Drosophila melanogaster: one gene and its partners. Changing the gene in region 1 together with any one later gene gives a genetic interaction. Each region holds a gene or a part of one and is shown in the gene's direction. Other genes may lie near its edges.

Region 1 (7,050 bases):
GATCGTTAAATGTGGAAGTGTAAGTGTGCGCCCGCCACATTTTCTTGGCTCGTTTTCTAGGCAGGTGTGGCCCGCGCCAAGGATAGATAAACTGGAATTGAGGCGGCCAAGACGAGGTGGCCAAGCGTGGCGAGCTACCAACTCAGGAGGAGGACCCCGAACTCTCATCAAGGATAAGCTCGGAAAAAGGTGCATCGAGCGGTAGAGGGAGAAAGTGGCAGGTGCTCAGTCGTCCTATCTGAGTGGTTTAATAGCTACGATCCAACGAGAAGATGGGGACTTTATGGCTTAGAGTTTGGTATTGGTTTTAAATTGACTGACAAAAGAATTCAGTCTTTTAATTTTATTGAAATGCTTTAGGAAAATACGACGAACTGCAAAGTTTGCATTGAGAAATTTAACAAAAACTTTGTTGAAAGTTAATGTTCTGAAACCAAACCAAACTATTTGTTAAAACGGTTTTAAATGGGAAATCTGATATTTTGATAGCTATTAAATAAAATCTGTCCTAATCTTATGTATTTAAATGTAACATTATTATAATCAAATATGTCATTTTGGTAAGGTAGATTTTATATAGAAATATAACAAAAAAAATTCTACAATAATTTAAATAAAGTTTATATATTTGTGCATTGGTTGTGAAGTAGGTTTACGTCAATCCTCTAAAATGTAATAACACTTTTTATGGATGAAGTCTAAAGCTTAAAGATTAAATTCACGATGTTGCTTTAAACTATTTACCCTTATTGGGAGAAGCGCAAATAAAAATGAATTTAAACTTAATTTCTCCTATATTTTACTCGCAATGTATTTTTAATAATTAATACAAAAATTAATTTTCATCACATTCAAAATTAGGAACCCATTTGTAATCCTTGTCAAATCTAAAGGTAATCTAAACAGTATCTACAAACATGGAGAGTTGCCACGACAGATGTTAGATCCTTGGATTCATCCACCTAAATATTTGTATGCTACCCCGCCCCATCCCGCCCTCGTCCTCTCCCCCCTTCCACCGATCAGCAGTGAAATCCTCTGCCGATTGCTGGCCCTCTCTCGCTTCTTCTCCCTTGGCCAAAGTACCGATCCCGATATTCCTGAGCCAACAACAGTTGGTGGCAGCAACAGAAAGAGCAAAGGCAATTGTAACTGTTACAGGGCAGCGGGAAAAGGATAACAAACGCCCGCCAAACTTTAAGTGCATACCAATTAGTAGGGAAACGCGTGCTGGAAAACCAGTAGTAGATGGGCCAAGAGGATACGAACGCAGGGGGTTGGGGTATCGAGATCGCCAGGGGACTCCTAACTGTGCGTCTTGACCCATACAACATGGAACACAGGACTGCAACTGCCGCCAACTGCTGCCAAAGGTGAAAAACCAGAGTTGGCAACACGAACACCAACACCAACAATACATTGCAGGGCTCTCGAGAGCCACCACCAAAAGAGTCAACACCAATACACCGAGGGCTCGTTTTGATTCGGCTTGCTGCCGCACTCACACAGTGCCACAAGTAACCACAGTCGCACACAAAAATAAAAAAAAGAGAGCTCGATTTGTACCTTTTTTTCGGGCCAAGTCGCTTCACCGTTGGCTCAATTTAGAACTGAGCCATCGACCAAAGATTCAGTCAGGTGCGAAGCACCGAGCGATACGGACGTGTTCGTCTCCAGTGAGTCAAGATAAAACCGCACTGAATAAGACCCATCGAAGATCCGTTCGAATCCAAGATCACAACGCCAAGAAAGTGAGATTTGTGCAGTGAACAGTATTGAGAAAAATCACAATCCAAAGACTGTTAAAGCAAATACGTAAATCAGATCCAGTGAGATTCCAAAAAGTAAAGATCCAGAATCAAAATGAATCACCTATCGCCGCCGCCATCGCCGCACTCCCAGCAGCCGAGTCCCGCGGGATTGGGCTGCCATGGAGCAGCTCTGGACAAGCAGTGGATGCAGCGGGCATCCGCCTTCAACACTGTGATAGCCTCCGCCGCAGCACAGAAACTCAATGGTCGAGGTGAGTTCCCGATCTGGATTGACAGAAAAATATATGGGGCAGTAAAGATAGCAAAAAGATTAGCTTATAGCTTTTTAATCGTTTCGAATTGTATTTAAAAGATCACTCGATTTAAAATCAAAATGTTAACACTTTCAACAGATCAGAAAAATTATGTTAACTTTACTGTAGTTCTTACCAATACAAGAGTAACTTTATATTGATAGGCATCCTGAGGATACTTTTCCTTCCTAATCTTAATCACTACTATTCAACTGATTCGTTAAATTTGCATTTCATAGATCTGCCCTTTTTGTACAACCCGCTGCTCTACTCGAGTGCCCTACTGTGGCCCCAATTTTTGTTGTCCTCGGCCACGGCTCTGGGTACACCACTGACCCCCATGACCCCCAAATCGCCCGCCTCTGTGGTTTTGGGTCAGCGGGATCGTGACTTTGCCTTGACGCCCGAAAAGGAGCATGAACTCCAAATGAACAATAACAATGAGAACAGCAAGCAGGACTATCAGGAGCAGGATGAGGATATGCCACTAAATCTAAGCACCAAGGAGCGCATCACATCGGATGATTCCAACCGAGATCAGTATCACAGCAGCAGCAACAACAGCAGCAGGAGCAGTTCCAGCAGTGAAGTGGAGCAACTGCATCCGATGACCTCGCTGAACGTTACCCCGCCTCCCCTGAGCGCTGTGAATCTAAAGAGTTCGAGTACACCACAGCAACAGCGCCAGAGATCGCAGGGTAACATCATCTGGTCACCGGCCTCGATGTGCGAGAGATCGGCGAGAAGGGAGCAGTACGGCCTGAAGATGGAGGAGCAGGGCGATGAGGAGGAGCACCAGGTGGATCCTATTGTGCGAAAGTTCAAGTATGAGCGCAGAACTGCATCCATATCCTCGCTGCAATCGCCGATCTCCTCGCTGTCCGCTCCCGCCTCGAATGCCGTCCAGGATCTGGAGTTCGAGGTGGCCCAACAGCAGTTGTATGCCCATCGCAGCGCATTCATGGCCGGATTGACGGGCAACAATCTGGAGCTGCTCACCCAGCACTTGAAGCTGAAGAGCGAGCAGCCGCAGCAGCAGCAGCAACAGCATCGCATCAAGGACGAGCAGCAGCAGGATAACCGCTCGGCAGCGGCACTCATGAATTTGGTGGCAGCCGCCGAATTCGGCTACATGCGTAATCAACACCAACAGCCGCAGCAGCAGCAGCAACAACAGTTGCATCACCAGCAGCAGCCGCAGCAACATCAGCATCAGCAGCAACATCCTGACTCGACGGCCACAGATGTTGCGCGTCGTTCGTCCTCCTCGTCATCTTACCAAGGAGAAAACGAAGAGAAGCGCAGCGGCAGGAATTTCCAGGTAAGCAAACTCAAACAGGATAAACGCGTCGAGGGGTAGGGAAATATGAAGAGGAAATCGAGGGCAAATCGCTTGAAAATCTCTGAGCCCCCAGCCCGCTTTAATGGGCTTATCACGTGTCCTGAAGGACCATGATCTATAACCCAAAACGAATACTGTTCGTATCATTGCATAAGGTTGCGTGTCCTCGACAATTCCCCTGTGTTAATTGTTTCATATTTTGTCCGTGCGGGTTTTAATTGTCGCCGAGCCGAAAACCCCACCAATACCACTTTCAATTTGGAAAAGTGGCACAGCAAATACTGTCATAAAGTTGGTAATACAAGCCAAACCGATAGAGCTCTATGGAAATTCAATTAAGTCCCATCGAAATCACGCAATTAGTTAATCAAATAATTTTGATTAGCGCCAGTGCGGTGGGGGGCATAACTCGCCCTCGAAGATTTATGTACAAATTACAATCATAATAATTCGATATTGGATTGTGCAAAAGGTAAGAGGGCACACGACCCTCAGGAATTTGAGACGACTTACCCTAATAGGCCTTATGCCTACCCCGATGTCATATTGCGTTTATATCCATCAACACCCGCCGCGAGTCCTTATTTTTTTTTTTTTTAACATCTTTTTCCAGTTTTTTTTTCACACATTAAAGGGTCAGAGTGAAATGCGATAGGTTTTCGGGCTTCAGTACCGGACCGACATATGGTCAAAAAGCCGACGAAGACAGTTGCCAGAGTCCTTTGCGCAGGCGCAGTCACTGTTCTTCAGCTGTTTATGTATAAAATCGAATTTTTTCTGTAATTCGTGCTTTACATCTGTTCACCATTGGAGGCCCACCCGGCTGACTCAGACTTTGGGGTTTCTCCTTAACTCTTTTTTTGTTTCCCTGCTCGTTTTTTCTTTTTTTTTTTGCCTTTCGAGCTTTGCCAACTTCCGTTCCGTTGTCAGAGCTAAGCAAATTGACATTATGGCTCAGGCAGTTGAGCGCAGCTTAACAATAGAGCAACTAATTGGGTCTGAGTCTAGCCAATGTGTGTAGTGGATATGGTCCACGCGAATGCAATGCGCAAATAGAAAATCCCAAAAACAAGGCTAAAAAAAAACGTAAAAAATAAAAAAATAAGAGAACATAAAAATCAATAAGAAAGAAATTTTAAAAAACCGACACTTGTGTCAATTTACAATTACGCGTAGACCATGCGGGTTTTTCAAAAAAAAAATTGTCTCACATTTTTTTCACCCATTTCTGTGTTTTACTTTTCGTTGTTTTCATGTTTTCGTGTTTAATATAAATGTCGCCCACGTAGGCCGACGATTTGAGTTGTGTTATGTCAATGTTTGGTTACTTGCAACGTTGCTGCAACTGGCAAACTGTTCAAACATTTAATCTGACAACCGAAGATGTTACAGCCACTGGATTCGTCCAATCCCCGCGATCGATTCCCCGTGGATCCCAGCTGTGTTTGGCCCACAAATACTGCGGTATATACAATGTATGTACATATATGCATGGCTAAAGCTCCCTGGAAAGTGTCTCACTTGAGATTTAGCATTGGGCCGAGATATTTACCTAGCTGGTTTCAGCGCTGAGAAATGGCTAAGGTTCTAGATTATTTGTCGCCTGGATGTGGGCTAACCAAGTTTGGCTTGGTTTGGGTTTTCCCTTGTCGTCACTTGTCTAACAAATATTTGAGCACTCACAAATCTAGTTTAATTCATGTTGCCACTGCGAATTTGGCTCAGGCACACAAAAACGGTGAATTTATATATAAATTCTTTTCTGATTTTTTGATTATTTGGCTTTTTGGTGTGAATATGCTCAAGCTGTGCAAATATGGGGTATTCTGAGTTCCAATAATCATGACTCGTTCTGTCTGAATGTGGTGTTAATAATGTATTTTTCTATTGTCTATGTCTTTCTTTTTAGTGCAAACAGTGTGGCAAGAGCTTCAAGCGTTCGTCCACCCTGTCCACACATCTGCTCATCCACAGCGATACACGGCCATATCCCTGCCAATATTGTGGCAAGCGGTTCCACCAAAAGTCGGACATGAAAAAGCACACGTACATACATACCGGTAAGTTGAATATTCGGTGAAATCAAAGCTAGTCCATGGGGAGAGTATCCAACTATTCCTCGGCAAATGTGTCAGAACGTGGTGCAAACAGAGCCACCCTTGAGCACACACACAGATCCCTATCGCCTTTCAATTTGTCTAATTGCTGTAAAGCTGCCGCCGCCTCTCGGCCACAATTAATAAACTTTGAAGCGGCATTTAACTAATTGTGTTTATTGATTTTCCTGCGATTCCAGGCGAGAAGCCACACAAGTGCACCGTGTGCCTGAAGGCCTTCAGCCAGAGCTCCAACCTGATCACGCATATGAGGAAGCACACGGGGTATAAACCCTTCGGTTGCCACCTTTGCGATCAGTCCTTCCAGCGCAAGGTGGATCTGCGACGTCATCGAGAGAGCCGCCATGAGGAGGCTCCGCCAGTGGAGGACCTGAAGCCCCTGAAGATGGAGGTGAGCAGCAGCAGCTGCTGACCGAGGCTAGGCGGCAATCTCTGATCCAGGAGATCCCAGTATTAGCTAAGCAGGACGAGACACACACTCAAAACCAGATGATGATGATGATGATGATGATGATGAAGGTGGAGCAGATCACAGTTGGCCCTAAGTCTAAGTCGTTGCTATGAAGCCAAAGTTTGTTTTGTTTAGGCCTTCGCAAAGATTTACCTAATCGTAAGAATTATTGTTAAAACATATTAGCTAAGATACTGCCTTAAGTCTGTACATAGTTATCCCAAACAAGACTCTTTTTTATAGCCGTTAAACCCTAGCTTAATGATTAATCTAATTTATTGCATAAAGCGTTTTTGATTTGATTCAAACTTAACCCAAAATTGGCAGCTAAACGTACCAAAGAACAACCTCAAACAAATGAACTACCACTTGGCGACCACTTGTCTAAATTTAGTTTCCTAATTTATTTAAGTTTATTGATGGCATCACCCACATTTATTTATACGATCTATGCGAATTTTTAGTTTATTCTTATTTTGTAATAAGCCCAATGACTTATTGTAATTATATTTATTAGGAGCGTATATGATTTTTGGAAAATAAAGTTGAAAGCTAAAAGAGAACAAACAAAATATATGGGTTTTTTTAAGGATAAAATATCTAGAATGATTGATTGATTCCTTTATACAAAATCCTCAGGCATATCAGAAAATACACATGATATGATTAATACATATGTATATATTTTTGGTATGTATTATTAATTCAAAAAGTTTTTACATCGGGTGGGTTAAATATCTCATTATTACGATCAACCCCTTGAGCAGCTGAGAAATTCCTTAGTATCAAGGACACAGCCTCCTCCTTTGAAGTACCACATTTTGATACAAATTGTCCAAAGCGCTCCAAATATTTTTTCGGGGGCCTGTTCGTAAACCTGATTTTATAGATGAATTTCTGCACGTACTCAATTGATGGGGAATAAGTTGCTCCTGTTTCGGGTGACGCGGTGATCTTTGATCTGTGCCCAATGTGGCATTTGGGGAATGCCCTTTGTAAGTCGCCGCGTTACAGCAGGTACACATCCCCCTCGGCCCACTTGCATGCCCGATCCTTGGGGAAAACGCCAATAAGT
Region 2 (7,483 bases), 5.3 Mb from region 1:
TGGCAAATTCTTTGGCGATATCGGGACAGATGTAGCAGTGCTTCTCCTTGATCGCTTTAGCAGTCTCGAGGCTCTGTTCCGGCGGAATGCCCACCTCCCGTTCGCGTAGCAGGCTCTGGATGAACGAGGTGATATTGCGGCCCGCGATGGGAATGTGCTTGATGCAGGAGCCGATCACATAGCCCTCGGCCTAGAAATGAAAAACAGCTTAATATATTTATATGGTTATAACTAATACGCTATTTTATCTTAATAATTCCCTCTTAATATAACATTCTGTAGTATTAATAATAGCCTCAGAATGTGCTATTTATTTATTAAATAAATCCGTCGACTGTTTCGGTTTTGGGTTCTCTTTTCAAACAGTTTTTACCGAATCCAGTGCCAACCCAACTCTGCTGATAAGATAAGATCTGTGCTACTTACCACGGGTATGACGTGCGTCACTCCATCGCCGCTGTCCACCACGATGCCTGTAAGGGTACGCTCCTCTGCGGACCGGGAGGCCCAACTGGCGGCTAGGGCAAGCACCGCCTGGACGGCGATATACAGACCAGGAACGTTGAACGTCTCAAACATTATCTCCGCGGTGTACTCCCGATTTTCGGGCGTATTTAGCGGCGGCTCAGTCAGCAGGAAGTAGTGATCCTCAGGCTCGGCGCGCAGATACTTAAAGACGCACTGCTCCAGAAAGCGCTCCATCAAGTCCCAGTCCTCCACCAGACCATGACGCACCGGATACTATTGGAATGCAATGATAAATGTGATGTCGGTTGCTTAATGACCATAGATACAAGAGCATACCTTGATGGAGTAGCCGGTGGCATCGAAGGCCTCATCGCCGATGAAGAAGTCCAGGTCCTCGATGCCCTTTGTGATGCGCCGTGTGTTGGTGTCTCCCACTCGTGCCGACTCCTTGATGGCAATCGCCGAGGGAATAATGAACTGCGGCTCTTTATTCCCGGCAAATCCCAGTTTGGAGTAGCTGATGGATGTGCAGACAAGCAGAGTGTTAGTCAGTCGACCTCCTTTCCGTCCAATTGGAGACCCCCACGGGCAATCGAAACTAAAAACTCACCCGGTGCCCACATCGATTACGCATGCCGGTAGCCTGCCTGCCATGGTCGCTGCTCGTCCTTTTGCCTTGCTGCCAGTTAAAGCTCTTCAGTTGCGATCTTCGCTCGCCTTTAACACAAATTTCCCTTCGTTTCAGTTGCAGATAAACCCAGATTTCTATATATTTTCAACCACACCTCCAACTATGTGTCACTTTGCTCTTCGTCACACACACATTCGCGTGTTCACGTACGAGCAGCTGCCAGGGCTGCAACAATCGATTGGCCATGCAACTTGAATGGCAATTTATCGGGAATTGTGAAAAGTCGCTGTTTTTTAAGCCTTTAAATATAGTTACCTTATGAAGCAAGTGGTCTATATATAAATGGTGCCTAGATTTTCCGCAGCGAAGGCTTTTCAATATTGCTCGAATTTTTGGCTAAACTGTTACCGGCGAACATAATGCAGCCCTGTAGGGCCCCATACACTGCGGCGTTAGTCAACACACACAGGCGCTGTTTCTTCTTCTTCTAAGCTTCGTTCGTCTCGCGAATTTCGGCGGTGTGTGTGTGCGTGTGTGGAGTCTTTTCCACGTTTTTTCCTCCGGAAAAAGAGATTTGCAATTTGGCCCACACATTGGAGCCACTGGTTCGGCTAGCATAAACCAAGGTCTATATAAAGGCAAGAACAGCGGGTGCACAGTGGGCACAAGGTGACCGCCAAACGACGAAGTGCAGCAGAAAGACCGGCGAAACATAGAATCAAGCAAAAGTAGCAAAAATGGAGGCACAAAAACTCACGGAACTGTTGCGCGCAACTATTGATCCGAATCCGGAACAGCGCAAGGCGGCCGAGGATCAACTGGCCCAGGTGAGTTTGCTCCCAAAAATAAACGCCTGCACTTGAATTCGAAAGGTCTTTGGAGGTGGCGCCATCGCCTGAAAACCATGTGCTTTTTTAATTGTTCGCTTTTAACCTCCCTCGCTCCCGCACTTCATCACTCTGGTCGTTGTACAAGTGTGTGGGTGTGGATAGTGTAATCCGATATCGGTCAAAAAGTTTGCCCTTTATGTGTTTACCATTATCCCGACTTCTATGTTGTTGCCCCAGAGGCAACAAGTCGATATCTTTGGGGCACCTACATATGTATGTATGCTATATATATTTCTATATGTGTACATATTTATTGCGAGTTTCGTGTGATTCTTCGGAAATCCACTGAATTGTTAATAAATATTTAATTGAGACTTTCGAAATATCGCCGGAATGCCCTTTGATTGAAGCTTACGCAATTCCCTTGGAAATAAATGTGGGCAATCAGAGCGGCCAGTCTAATTAGACCCCACCCCACTAACCAATTGCTTTGGCCCCACTGTAGAGGCATGCTCATTACGACTGAGTCAGCATCTAACGATTTGCATGCCCCTCCCAATCGCCTCCCACCAACCCCCCTGTTGTCAATTAACTTTATCAGCGCTTATGGCCAGCAGTTGTTCTTGGCTCCTCCATATTAATTGAGCTCTGTGAACGGAATTTAAAGTGCTTCTGCCATTGATTCTTTGACCAATTCAAATTTAACCCAACCCCAAACAGCTGTGTAAACATATCCATTCTATTTTATTTCTATACATTAAAATCCCCACAGATACACAAAATCATCGGATTTGTGCCCACCATACTGCAGATCGTTATGCAGACGACGGTGGAACAGCCGGTGCGCCAGGCCGGTGCTGTCTACCTCAAGAATCTGATCAACAGCAGCTGGTCGGACCACGAGGCCAAGCCTGGAGAGCCAATACCCTTCTCTATACACGAACAGGATCGGGCTATGATCCGTGGCGCTATTGTAGATGCTATTGTGCACGCCCCCGAGTTGATTAGGTGGGTAAATCCATTGAAAATCCTTTCCAGGGGGCTAATTTCGTTCTGTACACAGGGTCCAGTTGTCTGTCTGCGTCAATCACATCATTAAAAGCGATTTCCCTGGACGCTGGCCACAGGTGGTGGATAGCATCAGCATATATCTGCAAAACCAGGATGTCAACGGCTGGAACGGAGCTCTGGTAACCATGTACCAGCTGGTCAAGACCTACGAGTACAAGCGGCATGAGGAGAGGACGCCGCTAAACGAGGCAATGAACCTACTGTTGCCCATGATCTACCAGCTGATGGTCCGACTGCTGGCAGAGCAGTCCGAGCAATCTGTGCTGCTACAAAAGCAAATTCTCAAGATCTACTATGCCCTCACGCAATACACCCTTCCACTGGACCTCATTACCAAGGAGATCTTCTCGCAGTGGATGGAGATCTGTCGTCAGGTGGCTGATCGCGCAGTGCCCGATAGCTCGCACCTGGACGATGATGAGCGAACGGAGTTCCCCTACTGGAAGACTAAGAAGTGGGCCCTGCACATCATGGTTCGCATGTTCGAGCGGTACGTTGACGGCAGTATCTATAGTCATAGTCTAGATAACTAACGTTGTATGTATAAATTTAGTTATGGCAGTCCCAGCAATGTGGTTAGTGAAAAATACCAAAAATTCGCAGAGTGGTATCTGCCCACGTTTAGCCAGGGCGTGCTGGAGGTGCTCCTCAAGATCCTCGACCAGTACCGAAACAGAGTCTACGTCTCACCACGCGTCCTCACTGATGTGCTCAACTATCTGAAGAATGCGTAAGTAATTTAGTATTCTATAAATTCTCATGTGACATTTGATATATAGTTGGAATGTAAAATCGATGTTACTTAATTAGGAGATACCTAATCTTTGATAGAAAGTCTGAAAATTTTTAAAGCTGATAAGATGTAGTGTTTATAATTGCAGTTACAAAAGTCGATTCCAATCAGTTGACTCGTTTTTTTAAATGTTATTTATTCCGTTTGCAGGGTTAGCCACGCCTACACCTGGAAGCTGATTAAGCCTCACATGGTGGCTGTCATCCAGGACGTGATCTTTCCCATCATGTCGTTTACTGACTCCGATCAGGAGCTCTGGGAAAGCGATCCCTACGAGTACATTCGCCTTAAGTTCGGTAAGAGAACTTTTTAAATGACTTGAACTACATTACTAACCGATTCCAATAGATATCTTTGAGGATTATGCCACACCTGTACCGGCAGCCCAATCTCTGCTGCATTCTATGTGCAAAAAGCGCAAGGGCATTTTGCCCAAGGCAATGGCCACAATTATGCAGATAATTACATCGCCGAATGCGGACAACAAACAGAAAGATGGTGCCTTGCACATGATTGGAACGCTGGCGGACGTACTGCTGAAGAAGGCTTCGTACCGCGACCAAGTGGAGTCCATGCTGACCACCTACGTCTTCCCAGAATTCCAAAATCCCGCGGGCCACATGAGAGCGCGCGCGTGCTGGGTGCTGCACTATTTCTGTGACGTTCAAATCAAGAATCCCCAAGTGCTGGCCGAGATAATGCGTCTGACCACAAACGCCTTGCTTACCGACAAGGAGCTGCCCGTCAAAGTGGAGGCAGCTATCGGTCTGCAGATGTTCATATCGTCCCAGGACGAGGCGCCGCAATACGTGGAGGCACAGATCAAGGAGATCACCAAGGAGCTGCTTACCATCATTCGAGAGACGGAGAACGAAGATCTAACAAACGTTATGCAAAAGATCGTGTGCACCTTCACCGAGCAATTGCTGCCCGTGGCCACCGAGATCTGCCAGCACCTGGCCACCACCTTCAGCCAGGTCCTAGAATCTGAGGAGGGATCCGACGAGAAGGCCATCACGGCCATGAGTCTGCTTAACACTATCGAAACTCTGCTCAGTGTGATGGAAGAGCATCCTGATGTCCTGCTTAACTTGCACCCGATCGTCATTAATGTTGTCGGACACATTTTCCAGCACAACATAACTGGTTAGTTGGCTGTGCCCTCAATCGTTGATATCGTTTATAAAAATATCTGGTCATCTCTTCAGACTTCTATGAGGAAACCTTCTCCCTGGTCTACGACCTGACAGCCAAGGCCATTTCCCCCGAAATGTGGCAGATGCTGGAGCTCATCTATCAGGTGTTCAAGAAGGACGGTATTGACTACTTTATCGACATTATGCCTGCTCTGCATAACTATGTGACGGTCGACACGCCCGCTTTCCTCTCCAATCCCAACAGGCTGTTGGCGATTCTCGACATGTGCAAAACGGTAAGCTTCTATTCTTAATAATTAAATATGTCTGAACCTCGAATAACTATAATAATAATTATAATAATTATAATTTATTTTAGATGCTTACTAGTAGCCCTGGCGAGGATCCCGAGTGCCATGCCGCCAAACTGATGGAAGTGATTATCTTGCAGTGCAAGGGTCAAATCGACTCAGTGATACATATGTTCGTGGAGCTGGCTCTGTCCCGGTTAACACGTGAAGTTCAATCCTCAGAGCTGCGCACTATGTGCCTGCAAGTGGTAATCGCGGCACTCTACTATAATCCCCAGTTGCTGCTGTCCATTCTGGACAAAATGTCCCAGCAAAACAACGACTCTATCAGCGCGCACTTTATCAAGCAGTGGCTTCACGACACGGACTGTTTCCTAGGGTAAGAATGGACATGCTTTTTAATGATCTAGATAGTTTATTGTTACGTTTTCCAGCATCCACGATCGCAAACTTTGCGTCCTGGGTCTGTGCACCCTCATCTCGCTGGGCGAAGCCAAGCCCCAGGTTCTGAGCGAAGTGGCTGGAAAGATTGTGCCCGCACTTATTTTGCTTTTCGATGGTCTAAAACGCGCCTACGAGTCTCGTGCTCAGGAGGAAGAGGAAGATGAGGAGGAGGAGGACGGTGACGACTGTGAGGAGGCTCTGTCCAGTGACGAGGATGACATGGACGAAATGGCACCGGACTATCTGGATAAATTGGCCGAATTTGCCAAAACCAAGGGCAATGAGTCGGGCTTCGAAGTGAAAGCCGAAATCAAGGACGACGATGCTGACTCGGACGGTGACGCCGAGGAGTCTGTGGGTGATCTGAACGAGACTGGACTGGAGTCGTTTACCACGCCCATCGACGATGAGGAGAACGAAAGCGCCATCGATGAGTACTGGACGTTTAAGGAAGTTATTACTGGTAAGTTGTGCTGAATTTTGTACACCATTGGAAAACTAACTAATAACCTAATCTTCGCCATCAGCACTTTCTGCACAAGACCAAGCCTGGTATGCGCTGTTGACCTCCAACCTCACACCTGAGCAAGCCAAGGCGCTGCAAGAGGTGGTGGTGACGGCTGACCAACGCAAAGCCGCCAAGGAATCGAAGCTGATCGAGAAGCAAGGTGGCTTCGCCTTTCCGCAGACTGCCGTGCCCACGTCGTTTAAGTTCGGCTCCTAAGAAACTGAATTGACCAGATCACCAGACACTTGGTTCGATTTCTGACTTGATTGTTTCTCATATTCTTTCCAAAAATAACAAAAACATCAAACAAAATACATCTGGCATGCTGATGATGGCTTTGAAGGCATTCTCTTGGTTTTCGTACACTCCGTGTACCCATGTATGCTGCGACAATCGGTCGATTAATCAGATTAAAAAATCGATCGGTCGAGCGGCGACGAGACCGCACTATATTTATTGTAGATTTATATTTTATTTCCTATTTTGTGGCCAGGGCGGCCAACTAAATTATGATAACTTAAGTCCATTGTAAATCTTTGTATGTAAACGAAACGAAACGAAACGAAAAACAAACACGTCAGGACGAGAAGGTCTCATTAAATGAGATTGTGCCCACCAGCACGCCCCCGTAGAACTCCAAAAAAAAGTTGGCATCTAGGTCAGAGAATGAGAATTCAACGCAGAGCATTTCACATACATTTTCTTTATACACACATACACGTATATTCTGTACTAAATGAAGCGATATTTTTGAAAAATAAAAAAAAAAAATTTTTAACGTTTGAACTGGAGAAATCTTTTTCTTATTTGTGTACCTTTTTGTGAGGTATTTAAACCGTTCAGGGAACGAATTTTATAAGTACATCTAATATATATAATTATATTTAATAATGCTAAGTGCTGAAAGACTTTGTTTCCGGAAGATTTCAGCAGTTTAAATATTGGCGGTCATTAAGTAGAGTTATCGATAAGAGCGTCCATCCTGTCGTTCCCCAAAGACGTTTTCTCACACTGAATTGCCGATCGATAAGCGATATCAGAACGCGTTATTTGTTTGGACAACCGGTTGCATTTGTTTACAACCAAGTTTTATTTATAAAGTAGTAACTTACCTTTATTAACCATGAAAATAGCTGTCGAAGGATGTGCACATGGCGAGCTGGAACGAATATACGACACCATAGAGGGCATCGAAAAGGTTGGCGGCACCAAGATCGACTTGTTATTGTGCTGTGGCGATTTTCAGTCCACCCGGAATCTGGAGGATTTGCAGACGATGGCTGTACCAAAG
Region 3 (4,808 bases), on another chromosome or scaffold:
GTCTTCAGCTAATCGAACTAGAAAGGGAGTTCCATCTCAACAAATATTTAGCCCGAACCAGGCGAATCGAGATATCACAGCGTTTGGCACTCACAGAGAGACAGGTTAAGATCTGGTTCCAAAATCGTCGCATGAAACTCAAGAAGTCGACCAATAGGAAGGGTGCCATTGGAGCGCTGACCACATCTATTCCACTTTCTTCCCAGTCGAGCGAAGATCTTCAAAAGGACGACCAGATCGTAGAGCGTCTCCTTCGATATGCCAACACAAATGTGGAAACAGCTCCACTCCGGCAGGTTGATCACGGTGTCCTGGAGGAGGGTCAAATTACACCACCCTATCAGAGCTACGATTACCTCCATGAATTTTCTCCTGAGCCCATGGCTCTTCCCCAACTGCCCTTCAATGAATTCGATGCTAACTGGGCGAGTTCATGGCTGGGCCTTGAGCCAACGATTCCTATCGCAGAAAATGTAATTGAACACAATACACAGGATCAGCCAATGATACAGAATTTCTGCTGGGACTCGAATAGCTCTTCTGCTTCATCGTCGGATATTTTGGATGTTGACTATGACTTTATTCAAAATTTGTTGAACTTTTAAATATATCTTTGACTATATGTTTAGGCAACTGTACATACATACATATATAATCATTGTATTATACGAGCAATATCTTTCTGTGACTACATTATTATTACTTATTTTGGATGAAATAAAATATGTTTTATAATTAATGTGCGCATTTATTTGTTCAAACAAAAAATGCTGGTTGTGCAGCATTTGGGGATACATTTTGCGGACTCGATTTTCAAAAATTTCACCACCAGACAAATCAAATATTTTTAGACAAAATTCCATTTTAGTGGGCGATACAGTTGAGAAACTAAATAAGCTTGACTTGTTAAAACATTTATTTATATGATATTTATAATGAATGGCCTTGGCTTTTTATTTTACTTAATGCTTCCTCAAAGTTTCTGTATTTTTCACACATATATCTTTTTCACAATTTTAAACAATCTCATGGTGCGCATCGTCATTACGTAGACTGCCGATCACATAGCTCCCTGCTGTCAGACAACTTGTTCGTCAGAGCGTCCAAGTACGAACACCACCCCCAGCTGCAGTGCAAAATCGTGGCAATATTTTTACACCTGTAGTGACACCCGTGTGCATTAAAATCCGCACATAATTACAAACTCTGCGCGGACTGGATTGGAGAACGTTAGCAAAAAGAGGGCGAAAAAGCGGCCAAAAGGCAAAAAGCAATGCCACCAAGATTGACAGGAGAAGAGGCGCCCAAAACAAAAAGAGCGATGAGCGAAGCAAAATGTCAAAAATACCCATAGCCGAAAGCCAAAAAAGCCGGAGAGCGAGAAACTCGCTACTGTGGCTTTTTCTTTTCATTTTTTAGCAGATGCGAAATGTGTAAATAAGAAAAACCAAATAAATTCCGTCACAAGCAACACGTTCGCGTTGGAAGTGGAAAAAAGTGAATGAGGCAAGAAAACGCCGCGGAAATGATGGCCCAAGATACAGGGGTTCCCGAGCTACACGACCGCAAAGATACAAAACAAACTGCCGAGCCGGCCAATCAGAGGGCCGGAGACTTGTGCGCCGGTGTGTGTGAACTCCACCCCCTGGTCTCTGCGCGTAATGGCTATAGTAACCAGTTTCCAGATGGCACCGCGCATGTGCCGACCAGGAAAAAGCGTGATGGATGCGGTGGCTGTCGCTTAGGCCACTCCTTGATACTGGGTCCCAAAATCCCAGTTCAGTGCGTTCGGTGCTATTGGATGGAATGGTTGTTGGCTGCTATCTAGCTCTCGGGAACCGCACGAAGCTCCCCAAAAGCCCTCTGTCTCGCTCTCGCTACGAATCGGTTCGGTATCTAAAAAATAATATTTATTAAAATGACAGCTACAAAAATAGTTCAAAAATTTTGAAAACTAAAAAGTGATATTATTAAAACGAGTTGAAACCAAAAGTTTTACTATACGGTTGAGAAGCACTTTAGGAACCCCTGGAAACCCGGTTCTGCGCACCTCTTGAAGGCCAGAGAGGGACAGCTAGTGCCCACATGTGTATGAGTGCGAGTGGAGAAAACTATCTCAGACGAATTGCAACGACTGAGTGTGTGTCTGTGTGTGGCCATTGCAGCGATCGCAGCGACTCTACAAAACTCTACAAAATCAACACATTCCGCATACGCACCGTTGTACAGCGCGTACTTGCACTATTGTCGTTATCGCCGTTGTTTCGTCGGTTGTGTTGGCCTTTCGCGTCGCCATGGCTGCCAAAAGGTGTGTGTCTATGTCAACCTGAAAGCGAAAAACCAACTCCAAACACCACTTGACGGTTGAGCAAACACAACGGTGGCCATATTTACATTCGGATCTGGGTTCCCTCGCTCTCGTCGCGGTTGTCGCCTCTTTTCGCGGCCCACAGATAAGCCCTGACACACTGAAGTTTTACGCAAAACCCGCATCGCAAAAGTTGTGCCGGTTGAAACTAAAAAAAAAAAACAAACAAAAAGTTAAGCCAGTTACTATGAGCGAGTGCAGACAATAGTGAAAACGGTGACCCAAGTGATACCGGTGAAATTTCCACAAAGAACGCATATGTCAACGTAAGAGGAGAAATATGGAATACTGTGGTCTGTAAATGATCAACTTAATATGGTACGAAATTATCTTACACATATTTCTTACCTACATTTAAAAATAAGTGTATCCTTTTAAAGCACGAGAAAATCAAAGCGTGTCGTTATTTCGTTTTTGATACAACATGTTAGTCTAAAATACGAGCCTTTTAAGTCGGCAAAATGTTTACTGCAAGAAATATTTCAAATCTTTAATTGGCGGAATCGGAAAATATATTCGAATTTTCTTATTCATTTATACTTCCTAGGAAATTAGCTATGCGGCATTTCTTAGATGAGGATATGTAACAGCTTTATAACTTTTTCTGTTTAAAATATGTTAATTTATTTACTGACTATTAATCCTTAAAAAAATAATGTAAAATAATGTATGCGAACCAAGCCAATTTAGGTAACATTGTAGGACAGGTTGTATGTATTGTACATACATACAATACATATTGTCAAATCTCAATCGAAATTAGGTGGCCATAAATTTAAAGTGAAGGCCTAACAATTTCTATAAGAGCAATAGTAAAAATGCAGACTACAAATGAATTTCTGGCACAGAAAACTGAGAGACTAATGAAATATAAATTGGAATATGTAATTTAAAAATAGTCAAGTTTTTGACAGTTGCAATGTGAAAAATTGGATCGGTAATAATAAAATAAACATTGATTAGCATAGTAAAGTGACGATGTTTTTGTTTCTTAAAATGTTAATGAAGATAATGACATATCTTAATGAAGTATATACGTACATTATATTGAAATTATATATATTCAAAATATATAAATAAAAATTCAAAAATTATAAATATAATAATAAAATAAACATTGAATAGCATAGTAAAGTGACGATGTCTTTGTTTCTTAAAAGGTTAATGAAGATAATGATAACATATCTTAATGAAGTATATACATACATTATTCAATTTCACATTCGATAAGAACAGTGAAACCTCTAACTTCCTGGGAACTGAATCGTGATAACATTATTATGAGATTACAAAAATGGCTTTCCTTTCCAGGTTCCCAAGCTGAGGAACATCTAATACGCTCAGGAATTGAAATAGAAAGAATCTAAAAAAAATTATACCCAAGCTATGCAAGAAGTCTGCAGCTCCTTGGACACGACCTCAATGGGCACCCAAATCAAATCGGAATCTCCACTCAACCCGCTGCAGGTGCAAACTGGACAGACGTCCCTGCCAGTGGGTGGTTGCGGTGGTGCGGGCGTCGTGGGTGGTGTGGGTGGCGTGGGAGTGAGTGTTGGTCAGCCTGGTATCGGACAGCAGGGGGTGCCACCTGTGCCGTCGGTGCTCATGGTCAACAAGATGACCCCGAACTGTGATAAACGGAGCGCGGACACGGCCTATTGGATGACAGCATCCGAGGGCGGGTTCATCAATTCGCAGCCGTCGATGGCTGAATTCCTCAACCACTTGAGTCCGGAGAGTCCCAAAATCGGAACACCTGTTGGATCCGGCGCCATTGGCGGAGTAGGCGTCAACGTTAATGTCAATGTCGGCGTCGGAGTCGGATATCCGGTTGGCGTTGTCCCTCAAACGCCGGATGGAATGGACTCGGTGCCGGAGTATCCCTGGATGAAGGAGAAGAAGACATCCCGCAAGAGCAGCAACAACAACAATCAGGGTAAGTCCACATGCACATTACACTGGGGGAAGCATAAGGTTTTTAATTTAGCGATCGACCATGTCAATTTGAACACCATTCTCTGAAGAATAGGCGATAATCTCATCAGTCCATCTCAAACTATTGAATCAATCAAATAAAAAGTAAGATATTTTTATAGACACTTTTCCATATCAGTTTAGACCGGAATCAATTGGGTTCTCTTGTCCCGGCCATTTTTTCTTGCCGTGTACTGGCTGGTGAAATGCGAAACTCTCATTAATCACGAGCTCACAGAAACCTAAAGACTCCAATAGCGCCAATTATGCCACTACGAAGTCCCTCTGGCACCTGGTTTCGAAGTGATGAAGAAAGAGCCAGTGCTTTCGCTGACCATTTACAAAATGTATTCCGACCAAATCCCTCTACCAACACATTTATTCTCCCTCCTTTAATAGCAGCCAATCTAGATCCTCAAGAACCCTTTGAATTCCGACCATGTGAACTAGCAAAGGTTATCAAAGA
Region 4 (4,925 bases), on another chromosome or scaffold:
ATAGCCATGAAGCCCAGCATGTATAGCCACTCCAGCGTGTGGAAGCCTCGGAAGCCGGGGAAGATGCGATACAGCTGGCCGTACATCATGGCCACGTACGACATGTACAGGGAATACCGGGGAATGTACAGATCCGCATCGAAGAGCAGCGGAAAGAGAGAGAAATAGCCGGCAATGCCAAGGACATAGGCGTATCTGGCATCCTCCCGGTTTACCAGCGTGAGCAGACTGAAAAAGGGTGGGCCTGTTAGTAGGATTCCTTCATTTCGAATTAACTGAGGGGAAGGGAACTCACCAGAGCGGAAGGAGCACCATTAAGATGGCCTTCTCGTGCACATGCCAGCCGAAGACGAAGGAGGAACAGCCGCACAAAACCACCGCTCGCAGGAAGACCAGCGGACTTTGTCTGCAAAGAGATGGCGGATAAGTTTGCTGCGATATCTTGGAATCCAAACGAGGATTTCCTCACTTCTTGGCACTGCGAAAGAGCTTCACCAAAATGGGCAGCATGAAGAGAGCGGTCAGGGCAAAAGTCACAGGCGGTGTGATGGCTGGCAGCACCGAGTGCCTGACCTCCTGGACCAATCCTGACGTCGTCGAGGCACCGCCATCCTGTACCTTCAAAACTCCGGCGGCCAACTTGTCGGCGGCATTGTACAGCGCCCAGAAGTTGGGTGCCCAGTAGGCGTGCGTTAGGCCACGCTTGAAAGGAAACAGACGGGAGAGGACTTGCGGCAATTGCTGCCAGAAGGGTCCGAAAGACACGGCGAACGGAGTAAGTCCAACGACCAGCAGCTTGACAACGGCACCCACCGCAGACACCACACTCGCTTGCTCCAGGCAATAGAAACGCAGCAGGTAGACCCCAAAAGCGGGCGCCATGTACAGAAAGATGTGCTTAAAGTTGAGCAGCACGGCGAAGGCAAAGGCGCTCCAGAGGAACCGCTGCCGGATGAGGGAACCGATGCTCAGGAGCAGTATGCCGAACAGCAAGCCATTGTACTGAAAGTGAATGTGGTCCACGAAGATCAATCCCACGTTGAGGAGCAGCAACATGGAGGCGGCAAAGAACTGCTGCGTATCCCTGCCCAATCCCAGTGAGCCCAGGCAGCTGCGCACGCCGAGCACATACACTAGATCCGTAACAATCACCGAGAGCCGCTGAAAGTAAACGGTGGCCTTGGACTCGTAATTCAGGTTATCCACCACCAGCATTCGTGGATCCACGTACTTGGCCACCTGCGAGAGCAGCCACTCGAAGTAGGCGAAGAACGGCGGATAGTCCAGTGTCCACTCGCTGGTGGCGTCCACATACCACTGATTCAGCGGCAAACTGTGGGTGATGGCCAGCCAGTTGCGATGGACTTCGAAATCCGTGGAATGGCTAAGGATGAAGTTGATTTAGTGGGCTTGATAAGTGGACAGAGCACTGCATTTACTAGGCTGGAATCAGCAGGATCTTTAGGCCGGTGGCTATGCCCACCAGGTGCCAGAAGAGGTCCTTCATCTTCGTTTCTCTCAGGGATTGGGATTGTAGTTTAGATTCGATGCATTCCTTATCAGCGGTAAGTGCTGTCCGATCTGGCTTGAAAGCGGGCAGAATGCGATTGTCGATTGTGCCGGCTAAATGTGGCTTGGAAGTAGCCAGTTAGCCCGACTAAAAGCTATCGTTATCGGGCTGTCCAGTTTTCGCCCTCACCGCCGCCTGGTCACACTGACGCTCGCGTGTATGCATGTGTGTGTGTGTGCATTACATTACGCATTTGCTTTGCGAATTAGAAGCTAATTAAAGCGAATATTGTGGACTCGAGCCGGTCGCCAGAGTCCCACGGTTGCCGCCAACGCCGAGCTAAGGTCTCCAGCCAACCGGGCCATGTACGCCACCAACAATGGCGGCACGAACAAGGCGCCAAACAGGTAAGTTCCGCCTCCGCCAGCAAAATCTAGCGCCCCTCCCCCAAAAAAACAGGCGGTACAGCCGAGATTTTTAGTGTGTGCGCCGATCCTTTTTGTTTTCATTCTGCGATTTGTGCATGCCAAATAATTTGAATGAAACTAATGTGAATGCCCTACAGCAATGCCACCTCCATGTTCGACAACACCATCACAGTGACGCCCATAAAGATGGAACTGGGCCAGGCGTATGCCAAATCGCAAAATTCAGCGGCTATGCAGCGAAGAACACCGAATGCAGTGGTGGTCACCTCCTCCTCCACCGTCTCCTCCGCCCAGCAGCAGCAGCAACAGCAGGGCCAGCAGCAACAGCAGACGGTTCCCATGGCCAGTTTGGTGTCCAACGCCTGTACGCTGGTTAATCCCAGCATGAGTGTGACGGTGGCCACCACCGTTGCGAGCGGCGCCAAGGAGAAGACCACGAAGGCCACACGAACTCAGGTGGCACGCAAACCGCCGCCCACCATCGACAACTTCTGGCCAAATATCGTGAGCGAGGTGCACAGCATCGGCCAGGTGGATGCCAAGCACCAGGTGCTGCCGCTGGCGCGCATCAAGAAAATCATGAAGCTGGACGAGAACGCCAAGATGATTGCCGGCGAGGCGCCGCTACTGTTTGCCAAAGCCTGCGAGTACTTCATTCAGGAGCTGACTATGCACGCTTGGGTGCACACCGAGGAGAGCCGGCGGCGTACGCTCCAGCGTTCGGACATTGCCCAGGCCATAGCCAACTACGACCAGTTCGACTTCCTCATCGACATTGTGCCGCGCGAAGAGATCAAACCGTCGTCGGCGCAAAAGACCAAGGATGGCAGTACATCCAGTTCGAGCGGAATGGCGGGCGCAGCCAGCAGTGCCGCCTCCACCTCCAACACAGCCACCTCCAATGCGGCCGCCTCCGTGGCGGGCAATGCTACCGCCACGGGCAACTTTGTAGCCAGTGGTTCCACCGTACCTGCGACCACCGCTGGTGGCCTCAAGCTGGACACCACGGGTGCAACCAATGCCGCCGAGGTGCTCGGCTTCAGCACTGTCAACTCGGACATCTTCTCAGCGCAACTGCAGCAGCAACAACAACAGCAGCAACAGCACGCCGCCCAGCAGCAGCAGCAACAACAGCAGCAGCAACATCACCAGGCACATCCACAGCAGGTTCAGATTATTCAGCAGGGCGCTGGTGGCCAACAGTTGCAATACTTTATCGCACTGCCGAGTCAGCAGGCGGCGCAGCTCGTGCAGCAGCCGCAGCCCGCGCAGAATCATCTACCCATCAACATTTTGTCAACCCAACAACCCACCCAGCAGTTGATACTGACCGCCGGTCCCAATGGTCAGCTGACCGCAACGCCAGCGCCGCAAACGACTGCCCAGCAACAGACGGCGCTGCTCCAGAATCTCGCCCAGCAGCAACAGCAGCACCAGCAACATCAGCAGCAGATTCAGCTGCTGCAGCAAGTGGTTACGCCCACGGGGGAGCTGACTAATGTGCCGGTAGGTATCACTTGAGGTAATTGTATTGAATCCCAGATTAAGACTTGCCTTTCCCATTGCAGATCGCCATCAATGCCAGTCATTTGAATCTCCTGCAGCGACTACAAATGCAACAGCAGCAGCAGCAGCAACAACAGCAGCAGCAACAGCAGCAGCAGCAACAACAGGTCATCATACCAACCCAACTGCTGACGACACAGCAACTGCTCCAGCTGGGCGGAGCACCCACAGTGGCCCATCAGCAGCAGCAGCAACAGCAGCAGCACGCCAATCTCACGCAGCAGAGCAACGCCAGTGCGGTGGCCAGTGGCACGCCGATCTTTATCAACTCGACCATGACTGGTGCCCAGGCGGCGGCGACGCAGGCGCAGCAGCAGCAGTCGGCGCAGCAGCAACAGGCACAAACGATCTCCACCATGTCCACGGATCGCACATTAACCGGCGGATTTCGGTAAAAGCTGGAAGTATGATATCCGTACCAACGGACGGACGGACAGACGGACAGTTGGCAATCATATCGAAAGCATCGGGAGGCATTGGAATCGGGCATTGGCAAGCGGGCATTGATTGCGCCATCCCCTGTCATCCAGCACAATGTATAATATTATAGTTTACGTAGGTGTATACGATTGTATATCGCGGGGGAGATTATATATAGCTAGTGTCTAAGTCGTAGGCATCTGTGTAGAAACGATTTCTCAATTGTAATTTATTGCTGACCCTCCCGCCCCCTGGCAGCAGGTTTCACCTTCTCCAAAAAAAAAAACCGCCACCTCCACCACTTTTAAACCTAGCACTTAGAGAGAATAATGGGAAATCGAGTGTATTAGTGTATGTATGTGACGGGTGACGGATGCCACCGGTCCAAAGCATAACCCAGCGTTTCGCGTGGCATCCGCGCTCTTTATTATGTATTTGTACTTCTAACTAAGCTAAGATCTGATAAACAATTATAAGCCACCAAGGACTATGTGCCAGAAACTCCTGCGCTAACTGTATTCACTTTCTGGCCAGGATCTTGTTGATGTCCTGCAGTTCGCGGGTGCTCCATGGTTCCAGCGGATCGGGCGGCGATTGCGTTCGCCGCGTGTAAGCGGAACGTCCCCGCTGGCTGCGCTCGTCCGGATCATCGCTTTGCTCCGGCGAAACTCTGGCGCCCAAGGAAAACGTGGGATTAAGATATGAAACGGACACTGGGATGGGAACTCACTTGTTTCGGCGACGAACACGAGCACTTTTGGCGCGACGAGCGGCCTCATCCTGTGCTGGCTGGCACTTGCGCAGGTGAAACTGCTTCATAGTGGCGTGCACCTCCTCCGCCGTGGGTATATCCTCGCTGTCCTGTCCACCATTGCCGTCCTCGGTCTCCACTTCGGCTTCCTGTTCGATGGTCAGCACCTCCTCCGCGACGGCTTCATCGAAGTGGAAGCCCTGCTAGTGGGTTTACATTTTGCACTCAGCTATTTCACTTTTTTTATCCA

What was found.
Region 2: of sens (region 1) and msk, changing one suppresses a phenotype caused by changing the other (phenotypic suppression), as found in Drosophila melanogaster (one study listed by BioGRID).
Region 3: of sens (region 1) and pb, changing one suppresses a phenotype caused by changing the other (phenotypic suppression), as found in Drosophila melanogaster (one study listed by BioGRID).
Region 4: of sens (region 1) and Nf-YC, changing one suppresses a phenotype caused by changing the other (phenotypic suppression), as found in Drosophila melanogaster (one study listed by BioGRID).

Annotation. Positions count from the first base shown.
Region 1 is NT_037436.4:13,395,721-13,402,770, reverse strand, and holds sens (senseless), read left to right. Parts: upstream 1-1,645; 5' UTR 1,646-1,863; coding exon 1,864-2,023; intron 2,024-2,304; coding exon 2,305-3,386; intron 3,387-5,316; coding exon 5,317-5,467; intron 5,468-5,703; coding exon 5,704-5,936; 3' UTR 5,937-6,543; downstream 6,544-7,050.
Region 2 is NT_037436.4:8,114,604-8,122,086, forward strand, and holds msk (moleskin), read left to right. Parts: upstream 1-1,575; 5' UTR 1,576-1,836; coding exon 1,837-1,926; intron 1,927-2,701; coding exon 2,702-2,937; intron 2,938-2,992; coding exon 2,993-3,490; intron 3,491-3,553; coding exon 3,554-3,730; intron 3,731-3,943; coding exon 3,944-4,089; intron 4,090-4,141; coding exon 4,142-4,939; intron 4,940-5,001; coding exon 5,002-5,225; intron 5,226-5,308; coding exon 5,309-5,619; intron 5,620-5,674; coding exon 5,675-6,147; intron 6,148-6,211; coding exon 6,212-6,408; 3' UTR 6,409-6,976; downstream 6,977-7,483. Other genes in the region: Arp3 (Actin-related protein 3), read right to left, coding at 1-190, 427-741, 805-985, 1,079-1,122; ldbr (lariat debranching enzyme), read left to right, coding at 7,316-7,483.
Region 3 is NT_033777.3:6,739,046-6,743,853, reverse strand, and holds the start of pb (proboscipedia), read left to right. Parts: upstream 1-1,790; 5' UTR 1,791-2,686; intron 2,687-3,679; 5' UTR 3,680-3,754; coding exon 3,755-4,304; intron 4,305-4,808. Other genes in the region: zen2 (zerknullt-related), read left to right, coding at 1-605. UniProt on the Drosophila melanogaster protein: Sequence-specific transcription factor which is part of a developmental regulatory system that provides cells with specific positional identities on the anterior-posterior axis. Controls development of mouthparts, and labial and maxillary palps.
Region 4 is NC_004354.4:6,817,675-6,822,599, reverse strand, and holds Nf-YC (nuclear factor Y-box C), read left to right. Parts: upstream 1-1,680; 5' UTR 1,681-1,873; coding exon 1,874-1,917; intron 1,918-2,075; coding exon 2,076-3,444; intron 3,445-3,506; coding exon 3,507-3,899; 3' UTR 3,900-4,422; downstream 4,423-4,925. Other genes in the region: xit (xiantuan), read right to left, coding at 1-228, 296-406, 470-1,384, 1,440-1,507; iav (inactive), read right to left, coding at 4,444-4,594, 4,655-4,875.